Linked DNA regions of Notamacropus eugenii. The protein of the gene in region 1 interacts with the protein of each later gene in a pairwise test. Links are inferred from orthologs where the notes say so. Each region holds a gene or a part of one and is shown on either strand. Other genes may lie near its edges.

Region 1 (7,408 bases):
TATAGTGAACTTTATTTTAATAAAACAACACGCTGGAATAGTAATGCCATAATGCATTTTGCATGCTGCTGTTTTCTAGAAGCTGTGAGTATTTCATCTCACATGTACCTCCTAGTATCCAAAAATGAAGCTGCTTTTTCTTTATATTATCAGAATGAAAAAGCATCCCTGCTTTTTTTAAAGCATACAAGTCCAAATCGGCCCCCACGTGTAGTATTTGGAAATGGTTTCCTCTTTATTAAGGAAGGTTAACAGAAAATTCCAAGAAGTATCAGACTTCACAGGTGCCTTGGCGCTTTATCCCAGCTAACACAGTGAAACAACTTTACTATGAGAGCTGGCATCCATACACATTCTAGTAAATTATCCATGTATGACCTCTAACAAAATGGTCCCTTCAACATTTGAGGTAACACCATAAAAACAAGAAATGTTTTGTTTTCAGAAACATTAAACTGTGACTTCAAATATATATTGACATTTACTGCATTTGGTTTGATTTCTTCATGGAATTTATAAATGGCTTTGCAGCTTTAGATTGCTATAAGAATATTCACCAGTATCTTCAAGACATGCACAGTTTAAAGAGATAGTGGCATTGTAGCAGATCAACTAGAGCTGTAGGTTTCATGTTCATAATAAGACAAAGATTAAGCAGCTATGAAGTCATTATTATACTTAGTAATAGACAAAATAGCTATGGAAAACAAGGTGGTTTGGGTTTCTTTTTAATGATTCAGGTTGATGACAACCTCCAAGTAGTTATTTTTCTTTTCTCTCAAAGCTTAGCTATTCTCTGTTATGAATGTTGTTCAAGTCATTGGAATTGCCTGGCCATCTTTGTTTTTTTGTTTTGTTTTGGTTTGAGAAATGTTTGCCTGAAAAAGCTCTGGAGGTGTACTAGTTTGTGAAGTACCTATAGCAGTTTCACTGGTCTATTTAATATATTTGTCCCATTGTGTTCATGATTAGTTCTTATGCAGCTTTCTTGATGGTTAGGTTATTTGGATGACAGTATCAAGAGTCTCATAGTTTTCCTTTCTGTGTGAGACTGAGAGTTTAGGTAGAACTTTGAATCTACTATCACAATCCGTCTTAAATTCTTTATTAGGTTCCAGATGCCAAAGTTTAAGGCTGAAATTTAAGATAAAGTCATCTAGCACTCCAATTAACCCTCTCTCTTCACCTTCTTGTTATACTCTAAATGGTTTTCCAGTGTTGTGACCTGCATTGTAGGAGTTTTCTCCAGTGTTTGGTTGGTCTAATCTGTAAAATGTTAAGGAAAGAGCCATTTAAAATTTCTGATCAGGGCAGTGTGAGTACAGCCAAATATTAGAGTATTAAGTGCAATCTTAAGTCCCCTCTTAAGTTACAGGCAATACTTTAATCCTGAAAAATCTTCCCTCTTCTGTTCTCAGCAATTACTTTTGAAGGTTGCTTATTTGAGTAGCACCCAAACAAAAGGAGCTGGTTCCTTTTCTGTGCTCTTGGCAGTTCTTCCCTCCTTTTAGGACACATAAACTATGATTCAGCCAATTTCTTTAAGCCTAACTGAACTGCTCATTCAAAAGAAAATGGCAAATTATTTACTATTATCACCCTTGAATTTTTTTTTATGTGAAATTAGATGAATGTCAAAATCAGTGACCTTCCATTTCTCACTTGGCTTACATATCAATAAAAGTGAATTAGGATATTTTATTTTCCTTAGACTTTAGAGTTAGGATATTGCTAATATAACATTCAGTGAAAGACTGGCTTATGCTTTGATGTTTCTAGTTAGAACAAAATAGGGTAGCTTATCTAGATATGGTAAAAAAAAAAAAATTTTTTTTGATATGATGGAAAAGAAATTTACCATACTATGAAGTTGTGTGGGTTTTGTTGCACTTTTCCTGCTCCTTATAACCTGTATTGGGAATAGCAACATTTCAACTTCATTAACAAAAAGTGCAGGACACTTGGCCCTGGCCAAGAGAATCTCTCATTTAAAAGGGTAGATTGTAAAACAAGCAGACTGTAGATCAATTGGTTTTCCATACTCAATTGTGTGGGTTTATTAAGGAAAAACTGTTGTACTAATAATGTAAAAATGTAATGCAGTTGTTAGATGTATTTTCAAAAGTGGTAAATAGTAAAGAATTGCATGTTGCTCAGAAATTCAGAGTTGTGGAAAGATGCTTTGTTTTTATTTTTTAAAAAAACAAGCTGATTTAAATATAAGCATATTTTTACAACATTCAAACCTCAGATGTTTTGTTCAGCTCAAGAAGTTATACCCCTTGTCCATTACTATTTTCTGGTGTGAAACACTTTTCTTTTCTCTACCACTTTTAGTGGTAATCACAGTATGTGACATGAATAATTTCTCCATTTACCATTATTGTGAGGGCAAATAATTTAAAATGAATCTTCCTTTTTCCTAACAGAAATGTATAAAAGGAAGTGGCTGCTCTGTACAAAGATTGTATTGCCTCCCCAATGGATGTAATTTTGTGAGTGTATCACACACACCAGCTTCCTAAAAATGTTTATAATGCATCTTTTGAAAAAAAAATTTACAAGCAAACTTTGTGCATACATTGCATCAACATGGCAAAGATTGTATAAAATACCTTTTTCAAGAAATAAAGGTTTAAACTCAACTGGGCTAATGTTAAATTCTGAATTTATTGATCAAAGCAGACTACTAAAAATACTTCTAGCCCTAACCTAAATATTAAAGTCTTCATCGAACTTCCTACAGCTCTATGATGTGTACAATTTGTTTATTACCCCCAACAAAGTTTTCTTAATTCTTAAAATGTTTCAAAGTACATGTTGTATCCAAACTGGATAAAAGAATTATCACTTCAAAAAAATTTCAGTATGGTTGCAAAATTGAAAAACCTTTAAATCAAATACAGGGACGTTGTGGTTTGGAGCCATGGTTCCAATTGCTTCATTTGGAGAATGTTTTTTTTTTAAATCCAACCATACTAGTGTCAAAATAAAGATAATTATAAATTTGCTCAAAAGTTGGATGAGCTTATCAGTTTAATTTGTAAAGTCTGCTGGTAGGTGTGTTTATCCTGTTATGATTTGGTACTTTTCAAAGTAAAAAATGAATACAACCTCTCATCTGTTTATATTACAAAAGCTGAAAAAAGGAGTGGGGAAAGAATCTATAAGTATGAATGTTTATAAGTGAAACATTTAGAGAACTGAAGATCTAATCCATTTTTTTCTGTTTATAATTGGAACATTATTAACACTGTTAACTCTGTAGGGTTTTTTTTCCCCTTTCCTTAAAAAAATTCCAAAACTGCTCATGGGAAACTTCAGTGGTAAAGGTGGGGAAAACTTAGTGGAAAACTCAGACAACCTTACCTATATAACTGTTAGGCTGTGAATATGGAACAAGTGCACAGGAAAGTTCTACAATACAGATCATATTCCATATAGTACCTAAAAATTCTATTATCTTACCATAGGTACTTTACCACCTGACCTAAAGCATTTTTTTTTCCTTAGGGCTGGATTTTCAAAATAAAAATATGTTCCTGCAATTCTGTGGGAGACAGTATTTTTCACATAAATTATTCCCCTTTATCCTCAAGACCTTTTTTGAGGAATTTAACTAGTTGAGGGTATTCCACCTTACCTATTCAACTTCAATACTTCAGTCAGTCTTGAGTTCTTCCCATCCCTCAAAGATATTTTATCATCTAAACTTTTCCTTTCACTCCTTACCCTTCAAAAAACAAAAGAGCTCTTCAGCGTTTCTTTAACATTGAATACCAGTCCTGCTTGGAGTGATCTGTAACCACCATACCGTATATGACTCATCTTGCCTTCAGAAGTAAAGCAACAGTTGAGTCTTTGGGAGATTCTGATGTAAAGCCACAAGAAGTTCACGCTTTAGCTGTCCAGTTTTAAAGGGCATGCCGACTGTTGCTAGGCAGTTTCTAAAATAAAAATGGAAGGGGCAGCCATGTGGCCCAGCGGATGCAGCACTGGGCGTGCAATCGGGGAGACGGGTTCACACACCGGCTTTGCACCTAGCCTGTGGTAACGAGGATGCAACGTTTACAAAGCCCTTTCCAACTCCAAGGCCGCTGCCTAAGTGACCCCGCTGCTTTTAGATCTCTGTCCAGTCAGGCCTTTGGCGCCGCTGGAGACGGCTGTGCGGGCCGAGTGACCCCAGAACGCGGCGGGGGGAGGGGTGGCTCCGGACCAAGCCCAGGAAACGCTGGCACAAGCTCGCTTGTGCGCATCACAGTGGGCGGCGGGCGGGGGTCAGCACGGTAACGTGGTTTGCCCAGGACCACACCGCTGGTGATCTCGGGTCCTCCCGATTGGGACTACTCAGCTGCCCCAGCCGCATAAAACTCAAACACCAGGCCCTCCCCTCCCTAAACGTATGGCCATTCTGTTTTCATTCGTGGACTTCTACAAAATGGGGATGAAATATAATGGGAAAGCTCCCGTCTGCTAAGAGCTGCTGCCAGCTGGAGCGCCTCGTCATTTTACCGAGAAGATGGTCCTAGGAAGAGAAAATTCTGCGCCTGCGTCGCGCTCCACGCGCACGCGCAGACGCGCTCGAATCTCTTCCGTACCTGTGACAGTTGAACCGCTTCCGAACCTGTAATGGGGAGGGGAGGAGAGGGAGGGCTTAGAAGGGATCCAAGGGTTGATTGGCCAACCCACACATCTCCCCGCCCCTCAACCCAGGCCTTTCTTTATATCTTTCTCAGCCTCGTTTTGAAAACATGCACCGATTCGTGGTTGGTTGGTATGAACTTCAGCTTCGCCTGAATTCTACCAATGAGAAGACAGGCTCGCAAGACCTGTCGGGAAAGGGAACCGGCCTATAAAAGGACTTGAGGAGAAAGGCCTTCTCTGTTAAGGATCCTGCGCAAGGTTGTTGGCGTAGCGTTGTTATTTTGTATGTACAGATCCCGAGGCGGTGGCCGGTTATCCTGAGAGGTGCTACAGCGACCATGGCCGAGGGGGACAATCGCAGCACCAACCTGCTGGTGAGTAGCCCGGAAGCCCGTAGCCAACACAGGTCTCAGACCTGCTTCCCCTGGGTTACTTAGGTGCCGCGGCCAATCTGGTAGCCTGGCCGCCCCAGGTCGAGGCTCGCGAGCCGAAGTAGGGTCTTCATCCCTGTCCTCCCGGCTCCGCTGCTAATGCTTAAGTACCGTTGTTTGGGCCTCGAGGGGTTTGGCTGCCTAACGATCCTTCCTGAGTGGAGCCTGCGCGGGGGAGGAGGGAGGGGGGCAGGGGGGGGCAGGACGGGCCGAAGGCCTTGGTCTAGTCGTCGGAAGAAGAGGTGGATGGATAGATGGATGTGAGCAAGACGAAGAAGCGAATCCAACTTGACCCTGCTGTGCTGGAGCTTGGTCAGGCCCTTTACCCTAATCCTCAGTGTTCTCCTCCCCCGCTTCCGCTCCCTTCCGGCGAAAACATCGAGGTGCTGGGCAGAAGTAGAATTTTCCTTGTTTTCGAATGAGTTCATCTGAAGGTGAAGGCTTCTTGCTGCCCAGAATGGGTGGGGAAAGCTGGAATGGACCGGTGACAGCAGATTACTTAACGCGTGATTTTTGGAAGAGCGGCGGAATGCTTGTCATTTGACTGGGATTTGGGTGTCAGACATTCCCGGGCTCTCGGAGCTGGAAAAGGGTCTTCGAGATTATCCGGGCCAACACCTCTTTAGAAATGAGAAATGCTCAGATCTGGCGCTGATGGCTTAGAAAACCTGGGTGTTCTTTCCTCCGTGTGCCCTGGAAGCTCGGTTCATTTAAATGAAAAGTTTGGAGTTTGGCATAGTCATCTCATGGAGGTCATGAAATAGATAAGGCCTGGTAGAATGTTAGGAAGGTAGCAGTTTTAAGATCTAGAGGTAGAAGGGAGCTTCTTAGAGAGCATCGCATTGGCCCCTTCATTTTGCAGGTGAGGAAAATGAATCTCTATAAAGTACAATGACTTGCATGTTTTAAGATAAAGAAATACTAGAGTATTTCTCATATGATTAATTCTAAGGGATTTTTAGAAACAACTGGATTTCACATTAGTTTTTAGACTGCAAACAATTTTTTAGCTGTATTATTCATTTTTCTTATGTTGACCCTGCTACTTCTTCTGTTTTTTGCTTATTCAAGAGCTTCACTTTGAGACAATTTGAGTTCCTCAAATTCTCCCACAAGCTACAAGGAGAGTTGTATTGAGTTTAAGATGGAACATCCCAATTTGATGAAATCAGGCTTCATCTCTTTTATATGTTAATGCAATATATCTCTGTTTCAAGTGATGTTAAAATCTAGTGGTCTCTTGTTACAAGAAAGTTATTTTGAAAATTGAAGGTTGTCTGGAAAATCTTAAAAAATTGAAAGACATCTTAAGAGACCCTCTTAGTCCAAGAAAGATGTAAATCCCTTTTATTAACCTTATTTTATGCGTTTACTAAAATGGTGATTTTTGTTTTGAAAACTACTGGGGCCTGAACCTAGAATTAATAATCCTTTGATAAGGTTACACTAAATAAAAATTTAACCTTTCAACCTAATGACTTTATTAATGTTTTGATGTCTTTTTTCTTTATATCACCTATATTTCCCAGTCCATCCTTTTACCATCTTCCCCCTAGAGAGTGACCTCTTATAACAAAGAAGAAAAAGCAGTTCAACAAAACTAATCAATACATCAGAAATGTCTGACATCATATGCAGTGTACCACACCTAGGTGTCTTCTGTCTTTGGGTCTAAGCTTGGTCGTTATCATTTTACAGTAGTTAGGTTTGCTTGTTTTCTTGTTTTTCTCATGAACATTGGTTGCAGTCATTGTTTACTTTATACCATTCTGCTTATTATTTCCTTTACTTAGAGTTTGTAAGTCTTCTCATGCTTTTATTTATTGATAGCATTTTCATTATTTCTTTTGGCACAGTATTATTTCCTCACATTGATGTGCCACAACTTGTTTAGTCAGTTCCAGTTGATGGAAATAGAATTTATTTTCCACTCTGTGCTTGTACAAAAAAGTTCTGCTATAAATATTTTGGCATGTTGGGGGAGGGGGTCTATCACTGACTTTTAGGTGACCCCTGTAACTTTTTTAAAAATTAGAATTATTGGCTAGTTTCAGCTGAGAATGTGTTATGAACATTGTAGCACCATAAAAGAATTTAGCTTTCAGATAGCCAGGACTACTGTTAAAAATATTGTAATAACTGTTTAAAGTATTTCTTTATGCAGGCTGCAGAAACTGCCAGCCTGGAAGAACAGTTACAAGGATGGGGAGAAGTGACGCTAATAACTGATAAACTCCTTCGGTGGGAAAGGGCCTGGTTTCCGCCTGCAGTGGTTGGTGTTGTTTCTTTGGTATTCCTGTAAGTGAGCTTTGAAGCTGCTACTTTGATATTTG
Region 2 (7,701 bases), on another chromosome or scaffold:
GCCTGGCAGGTCTGTACCCTGACTTCATCTCAGTGGTACCCACTCCTTCCCGCTGAGCGCAGACATGGGTGGGTGTACTAGGACAAAAGCTTCCTTGCAGGTACCTAGGGCAGGGCAGGGACAGACATGCTGAAAATGGGCGGGGCAGTGATTATCCTAGGGAGACATCAAGGGAAAGTTTTAAGTTTTGAGAGACAAAAATGAGTAAAGAGAACAGTGAGAATGGCTAAGTTAGTAGGAAGAGGGAGGAAGGGAAATAAGGCAATCTGGCCATAGTAGGCCCTAACATTCAGGAGGAGCCCTGACTTGCCCATGGCATGTGGGGCCGATTCCTGCTGAAGCTCCTGGTAACCTCAAGGTGGATGTCTTCCACAGGTTCCTTATTGGAGCCTGGTCACCTGGGCTCACTCCCGATCTCCTGCAGGGGTCAGTGCTCAGAATGCAGGGGGCTGAAGTCATTTTCTTATGTTGCTCTTTTACCTAGGTACCCCAGCTTAGGGACAGGGTGTGAGAAGGCAAGAAGAGGCTCCACCCTGTGGCTATTAGATGGTACAATGCTACTGGCTTCACTAAAAAGGGGTTAGCCTTGAGTGTTTCTTAGGGAACTTGTATGGGAAGGAAGGGATCCAGAGAACGAACAGGCAAAACAGCAGGACTAGGATTGAAATCTGAAATCCCACTCCACTCTCAGGTTCTGATACGGATCAGAGAAACCCTCAGGACAAATGAGTGGAAGAACCAGGAGGTCTCAGTTTGGCCTTAGGAAATCAACAAGAGAATTTCCCCTTCCAGCAAAAGGAGCCCTATACTGCCCTCTGCCTCTCCCAGGGCCTGCTCCATCTCCTAGAGCATGAGATCTATTCACCTTGTGGCACCACTGTGAAGGTCTTGGCACAGATTCACCCCCAGTTTGAAATGCCACCCACTGGTCATAAGCAAGGAGATCTGGGAGCGGTGGTGTCACAGAAGGAATCTCTGGGGGGGCAGAAAAACGAGGTGGGTCAAGGGGATCTCATGCTTAATCCTAGAACTCTCCCAATTCTCCTAAAATCAAAGGATCGAACTGACCTTTGGACTTAGCCAGTACCTACAGAGATAAGCCTTGGCAACCTTGAAGAGCCTAACGTAGCAGGAAGGACCAGCTCTAGGGTGCTGAGAGAAGTCTAAGTTTAGAGTTTTAAGTAAACAGGAGATAACAGGAGAGATGTAGGCCAGGGAAGGTAAGGAAAGGCACCAAGGGGCCCCAGGGAAGGTGAGGAAGCACCAAGGGGCCCCACTGGTTCCTTGAAGTCTCAAGTCCTGCTCAAACAGTACTCTTTGACGCCTGATAACACCAGACAACTACAGTAAGCCCAGCCCTTTCTTCATCTACTTCCCCACCCACTCAGCTCCCAGAGACACAGAGACCCCTTTAGGGTGGACGTCAGCAGTCATCCAGACAGAGCCAGAGCCTCCTCCAGCCACTATGGAGGACAAAGGCTTCCAGAGGATGCCCAGAGGAAAGGGAAGTGTTTTTCAAGCTGAAAAGACAGAAATAGCTGATGACCCTGGACAATACCCCACACTGAGAGGGAGAGTCCACAAAGTTCAGGCCATAGGTTTCACTCCTTGTGCAAGAGGGTGGGGCGGGGATCAGCAGCCCAAATTTTGCTGTCAGCTCCAAGCTCTAAGGCTGCCTGGGCAGAGGGAGATGGAATGGTCCCCACTCTCAGAAGGGTAAAGAGAAGTCTGTGGCTGGTGTTGCTGGCATGCCATTTTTGTGGCTGCCAACAGGGAGACTGAAAGACCAAATTACTCAGTCTGGGCCAGACAACAGAGGAGCCAGGAGGTGAAAAATATGGGCCTAAAGCAACCAATGAGCTACTGCTCTACCTAGGGGAACAAAGTGAAGGGGAGGTGGTGGTGGTGTATGACAAGTTTCCCGGGGCCTTTCCTAGGAACAGATCTTTCTGACTTCCTATTTCAGAACTAGCTGGGAAGCAGGCAAACCAAAACCTGAAAGGACTGGAGGGGAAGCAGGGGAGACCTCAGGTGAAAAGCCAGTGAAGAACATTAACCCTCCATGCCTATTTCCCTCCCACCCAAAACCAAATCCCAGGATCACTCAGAAGTTACCTTTATATAACCCAGAGGGGAAAGCACGTCCATGAAGAGCTTGCTCCATGGATCTTCAAATGCCAACTCAGAAAGGTAATTGATGATGCCAGACTTTACTTCCTGTAAACTGACCATTCCAGTGGTCACTCTCTTCGCCACTGAAACTTCACCCTATCCTTACCAAAGCCCAGTAAAAGCCAAAAATCCTGATTCAGCTCACTATAAATCTCTTCCCCTTGCTGCAGCTGACCCAGGGCAAGGGACATGCAATTGGACCCCAAAAGAAGGCTCCTGCCTTCAGATGAAGGTGGAACATATGACCAAACGGGGCACGGAAGCTAGGGAGGCTCACTCTCCTCTGTTGTCCTCTTCTGTTACCCCAGCCCCATTCCCAATCGATCAGTTCTGTTTAAGTGATTTCAGGATGAATCTGGTGAGTAATCCCCAAAAGAAACTTACCCAATGACATACATGTCTATGCTCAAAGGTTGGCTGTCTAGTAGGAGCAAGTCATCAACATTGGTCGGGGGTGATGCACACGCCACATTCCAGGTCATGACATGCAACCTGTAGATGAATGCACAGTGAGGCTACAGAGAGGGAGAGGTCAGGGAACAGGAGGAGGTCCCAGCCTCCAAGGAACTGTCTTTCTAGGTGAATGAAACTGTTAAGAGGATAGAATTAGAAATGGGAAGATTTTACATCTGATTGGGAGAAAAATGAGACCTAAACTGCAGATATTTGTCCTTCAGCCTTTTCCCCCAGAGCAGGAAAGCCTTATCCAGCATGCGAGCCATGTCCTCCTGGATCTCCTCATCTGAGCTGATGTCCTCCACACAGGCCAGAAGCTGCACCATTCGCTGCCGGAGGGCCGTGTGACCCACAGAGCTGGTGCTGCTCACGCTGACAGAGCGGTCCCGGGACAACACCGAGGTCTCCCAGTCAGGCAAAGATGAAGAGCTATATTCTCTCTCCATAAGCCTAACCAATTACCTGACCACACAGCAGGCACTAACAAGCCACCACAAGCCCCTGAGGGCCAACAGGAACCAAGATCCCCAGGGAAATCCTGAGGGTCAGCTTCCACTTGGTGGGGTAAAGCCTTGGGCTTTCCTAACTCAGGGAAAGTTCAGAGAGACTGAAAATTATAAAGAAGGCATTCATTCTCTTAAGAGACTTAATAGTCAATCCTTCTAAGTCTTTAAAAACTCTAAGGAGAAACATGTGATCACTTCCTGGTATATCTGGAATTTTCTCTAAGAGTCAAGTGAAAGAACTTTCTACTCTTTCCCTCTTCTGGGTAATGTCACCTCTTGGGTCCTACAGCATCCCCCATATATCCCAGGAAGAAAAATGGAGTCCACCCTCAATCCTAGGGGATTTGGGGGTTCCCTCCTGTGAGGCTTAGAAGAAACCTGGCATAAGGGAAGGAGGGCGTCAGGAGAAGCACACCCCAAAGCTGTCATGGGATATGGGACTGAGCCCCATCCTAGGCTAGCTGGGCCACAAGGCAGCTAGGACAAACAAGTCTCCTGGAGGGACGACAGCAGTTCACGTATATTGGTGCTTCCCAGTTTACAAGTTTTTCCTCACAGGTCTGTGGTTATTGACAATTTGCAGCTAAGGAAAACTGGGCGCAGGCAGAGGTTAAATACCTTGCCCCAGAGTCAGGGCAGGAATGCCATACAGCCAGGAAATGGCAGAAGAGGGGACTTGTACCAAGGTAACTTTCTGATTCCAAGTCCAATCCACGGGCCAAAGACCAAAGAGTTATTGCAAAGGGTACCTGAATTCACGTGCAAATCCATAAATGTACCTTCTACAGACTGAATACATGTATTGCGCATACATACGTGTACTACTTTGTCAAATATTTGTTGAAGCTGCTGGGATTAATAATGTAAAAATTTATTATTAAAAAGTATTGTTGAATTCATAGTAGGTTTTTGTCATGTATTTTCTCAACCAATGGCTGCTAACAGCATAACCACTACCATGTGGGAGTGTTTAAACAATTTTGATGTTAAAAAAGGGTCTTCATACTGTAAGATGAGTCATCACCAGGAGGCTCAGAAAGCAGGCCTGGCTGAGGCAGAAAGGACAGGAGGGTCAGTGGGCCCAGAAAGGTACCAGTTTTCAGGCTGCAGAGTAGTCTGGGGAGGGAAGGGGGAAAAAGGGGAAAAGGGGAGAAAGGACACGGCCTGCCTGGTTGCGCCCCAAACATCAGCTCTCCTGAATTCAGCCTTTTAAGCAAATTTTGTCCGATGGCTGGCACCTCTGACAAACCTCTGGTGCCCGGGGGCACCCTCCTTTTCTCGGTAAAAGAGCTTCCCCAATGGTCAGCGAATGCTGGACTTGGGTCGCTGGCTGAAGATCTCCCCCTGGCGTCCACCCCGGGGGCAGGGACACCAGCCTTCACTCTTTCTCCGGCCCCATTATTTGGGGAACCCAGGCGGGCTGCCTTTCAGGGCTCTCCTCCCAGGGGGGCCTTCGGGCCTCGATTTCCCGGCCTGGGGGGTCAGGGCCACTCTCCGTCTACACCTGGCTCGGCTCGCTCACAACGGCCCTCCGTGATGGAGCCCCGCGGGATCGGGGATGCCCGGGCCCCAAAAGTCGGGAAGCCCTCCCCGCGACGTTCCACTTCGGGGCTGACACCGAGCCTTCTAGAATCCACTAATTCTCGGAGCTTTGGAGAGCAACCCCGGAGGACACCAGAGGGGGGTCCGGGGACCTCTAGGGCCCGCACAGGGGAAGGTCGGGAAAGATGCAAAGACAGCAGCCGATCCGGCCTCGGACCCTCGACAGCTGTGCGTGTGCGTGTGTGTCAGGGGGAGGGAATGGCCGGGCCCTCAGTTTCCCCATCTGTAAAATGGGATCTTGGTGCCTACCTCTCAGGGTGGCTGAGAAAGGAGGGGGAGGGGAAAGGGGGGAGAAGAGGGAAACGGGAGGGGGGAGGAGGGGAGAGGGAGCAGGAGAGGGAGGGGAGGGAGCGAGGATTAGTCAGGATTAATTCAGCCGCTGGCCAACCCGGGGGGAGGGGAGGCCGCCGCGCCCCCGCCCCCGCCCTCACCTGAGCCTCCTGAGGTGCCTCATCTTTTTGACGGGCCGGTCCATGGCCTCCGCGGCCCAGGGCTCTGTGACAGGGGAAGGAGCCAACGATGAGCCGAAGCCGGAGCCTCCCCGAGCCTGGGCCGGGCCGGACCCCGCCGCGGCCGTTACTCCCACGCCCCCCTCCCCTCGCCGGGCCCAGCCGCCGGGCCTCGCAGGCCCGCAGGCTGGCGGGTGGGCGGCGGGTCCCTGAGGGCGTCTCTCTCCCGGTCTCTCTCGCCTGTTGTTTGTTTCCCTTCCTCTTCGGCTTCCGTAAGAGGCGGGTCTTGGGCGTACCGAGACTCCTGGGTGGGTGCAGACGAGGAAGGGGGCGGAGCTCCCAGGAGTGCGCAAAACCAGGGGCCGAGACGGGACTTGGGGAAAAGGGAAGGGGACTGGGGCGGGGTGGGGGAGAGGGAGGGGAAGGGGGAAAGGGGGCGGACCTTTGCTTGTCACCTAGATACGACGCAACACAGCCACCGCCAGCGTTCTCCCGGCGCGGGACCCGACTCCCCCGGGCCCAGAACGTCGAGCTTCTCTCCCCCGCCCTGGACTACAGTTCCCAGCATGCTTCGCGAGCCTCGCGTTCAAGCGTGAGAGGAGCCGGGGGTGAGAGAGGCAACTTCCGGCTGCTCAACCTCGGCCTGGGCCGCCCCCGCGAGCCTGGGAGCGGTACTGCCAGGTAGCTTCAGGCCGTGACTGTCGGTGCCCGTGCATTCCGCTGGCCCAGCCCCGGGCCCAGGGCGCTCGTCCGCCTAGAGCCCACCCCAGCTGCCCCTGATTTCCCGCTCTTCCTGCCCACCGAGAGCCCTCACTTTTCCCGCCCTGCAAATGAGAAAGCTGGGCATCACAGAAACTAAACGAGCTACTGAAATAATCGTAGCCTTCGCCTTCTCCTTACACCCTACCTAGCCCAAAGTGTGAAAACTACAATCAAGGAGGGGCTGTTCTATGGAGCCTCGCAGCAGGGTGCCTCCACATCACCGACTCCTTCGCCAAGGTGGAGCAGTAAAGGGCCGCCCCAAGAATCACAAGCCACTACATCTGGGTAGGGTCAGAATCGAAAATAAACATGGGAGTTGATCATGTCAGTCAATGGAAACACATGCGCATAGATTTTACAAGAACCTTTGCACGCTAGGGGCTATGATACAGTAGCAGCGTAATTCGGGATGTTGCATCTGCAGAACATTTGCAGGGAGCTCCGTGTGCGGACACCAACAATCCGGACTCCAGAGAGCTGTGTCTATGACTTTATTAGACTTTTTTCCCCAATATACCGGTATTGGAAGATTAGGAGACAAAAAGGCACAAACTCACATTAAAGAAACAACAAGGTAATCTAGTTAATTCTACAAAGTGGTTTTTTGTAAAAGGAATAGCTAGGAACCAATCGAAAACATGTCGTGGGGTCCCAGCAGGGACAGTTAAGAACCCAGGAAGGTGCATGGGTGCCAGAGATAAAAACTATCACTGGTCACCTCCCTTCCATTGAAATGCCAGAGCCCAGCACCCAGTCCTGGAGTGATCCTAACCACGGATGGTTTTGTAGGACTGCAGTGCTGGAAGTCTGATAGCAGCAGCACATCTGGGGCCAAAGAGTGCATCCTCAGGCATAACACCACCAGCCCGAGCCTCCCACGATGATGATGGGCCCCTCCAAGAGCTAGCTAGCAGGGCTGGGCAGAAAGAGGTGGGGGCAGGAGTGTCTTGGAGGAGCCAATGCCTATCAGCAGCACCATCATGGGGGGGGAGGGGAGGTTGGGGTTTGAGCCCTGCCTCCCTTGATGTTCAGAACTACAAGATCCAGGCAGATCCCTACAGGATTCTCCAGCCCAGGTCTGGATGCTTTCACCGTGGGTTAAAATGGGAGGCGGGGGATGCAGACAAGGAGGCAGGAAGGGAACAAAAACGCAGGAGGACCTCAAGTTTTGTGCATTGATCTCATTTAGAAGCTGGCGAGACTGGTATTTGAAGGACTTTCTCTTTTGTGCCTTTCCTGACTACAACTGTGTAAACATTCATTAGCTCTGAGTGTCAGTCTTTTCCCAGAGAGGACAGATATCTAGACTCCACCTTCCAGATGAAGGAAGAGAAGAAAACTGTTGCTGAAGCACAAATACAGCCAACAGCAAGAGAATGACAAGGGCAACACTGACATTTTCCCCGTGCAGCCGACACACAAAGGACTGACTGCAATGTCCTACTGGTCCATCCAGGGGACCCATAACTAGGAGGCTGCTGAAAGTGGGTCAAGTGTCGGCAATGGGACATTTGCTGGAGACAAAGGAGGCTTGATCATGGCCAGAAGTAACTCTCTTTTGGAAACCCAGGGTCCATGCTTCAACTCAGTTGGCTCTGGATGTGCCTACCCCATTCCCCCAGAAGGGTCCCAGAGAAGGGTCCACCAGAGTCACAGGTGAAGTCCTACACTCCTTTTATTGCACTTAGAAATGAGTAAGGCAAAGCAAACTACCAGAGACCCGCAGACACACAACCTCCTCCCTGCCAGGGGAT

The links. The genes of interacting proteins can lie anywhere in the genome.
Region 2: the proteins of ARL6IP1 (region 1) and INPP5K interact in binary tests that used the Homo sapiens proteins (3 or more experiments, as listed by UniProt). The link is inferred for Notamacropus eugenii from reciprocal best matches to the Homo sapiens genes ARL6IP1 and INPP5K.

Annotation. Positions count from the first base shown.
Region 1 is NC_092874.1:400,666,570-400,673,977, forward strand, and holds the start of ARL6IP1 (ADP-ribosylation factor-like protein 6-interacting protein 1), read left to right. Parts: upstream 1-4,307; 5' UTR 4,308-4,626; intron 4,627-4,723; exon of another isoform or gene 4,724-4,736; 5' UTR 4,737-4,982; coding exon 4,983-5,018; intron 5,019-7,239; coding exon 7,240-7,373; intron 7,374-7,408. UniProt on the Homo sapiens protein: Positively regulates SLC1A1/EAAC1-mediated glutamate transport by increasing its affinity for glutamate in a PKC activity-dependent manner.
Region 2 is NC_092873.1:39,558,802-39,566,502, forward strand, and holds the start of INPP5K (inositol polyphosphate 5-phosphatase K), read right to left. Parts: upstream 3,090-7,701; 5' UTR 3,075-3,089; coding exon 2,824-3,074; intron 2,665-2,823; coding exon 2,557-2,664; intron 2,225-2,556; coding exon 2,116-2,224; intron 976-2,115; coding exon of another isoform or gene 866-975; intron 1-865. Other genes in the region: uncharacterized protein, read left to right, coding at 5,256-5,866, 6,097-6,196. UniProt on the Homo sapiens protein: Inositol 5-phosphatase which acts on inositol 1,4,5-trisphosphate, inositol 1,3,4,5-tetrakisphosphate, phosphatidylinositol 4,5-bisphosphate and phosphatidylinositol 3,4,5-trisphosphate.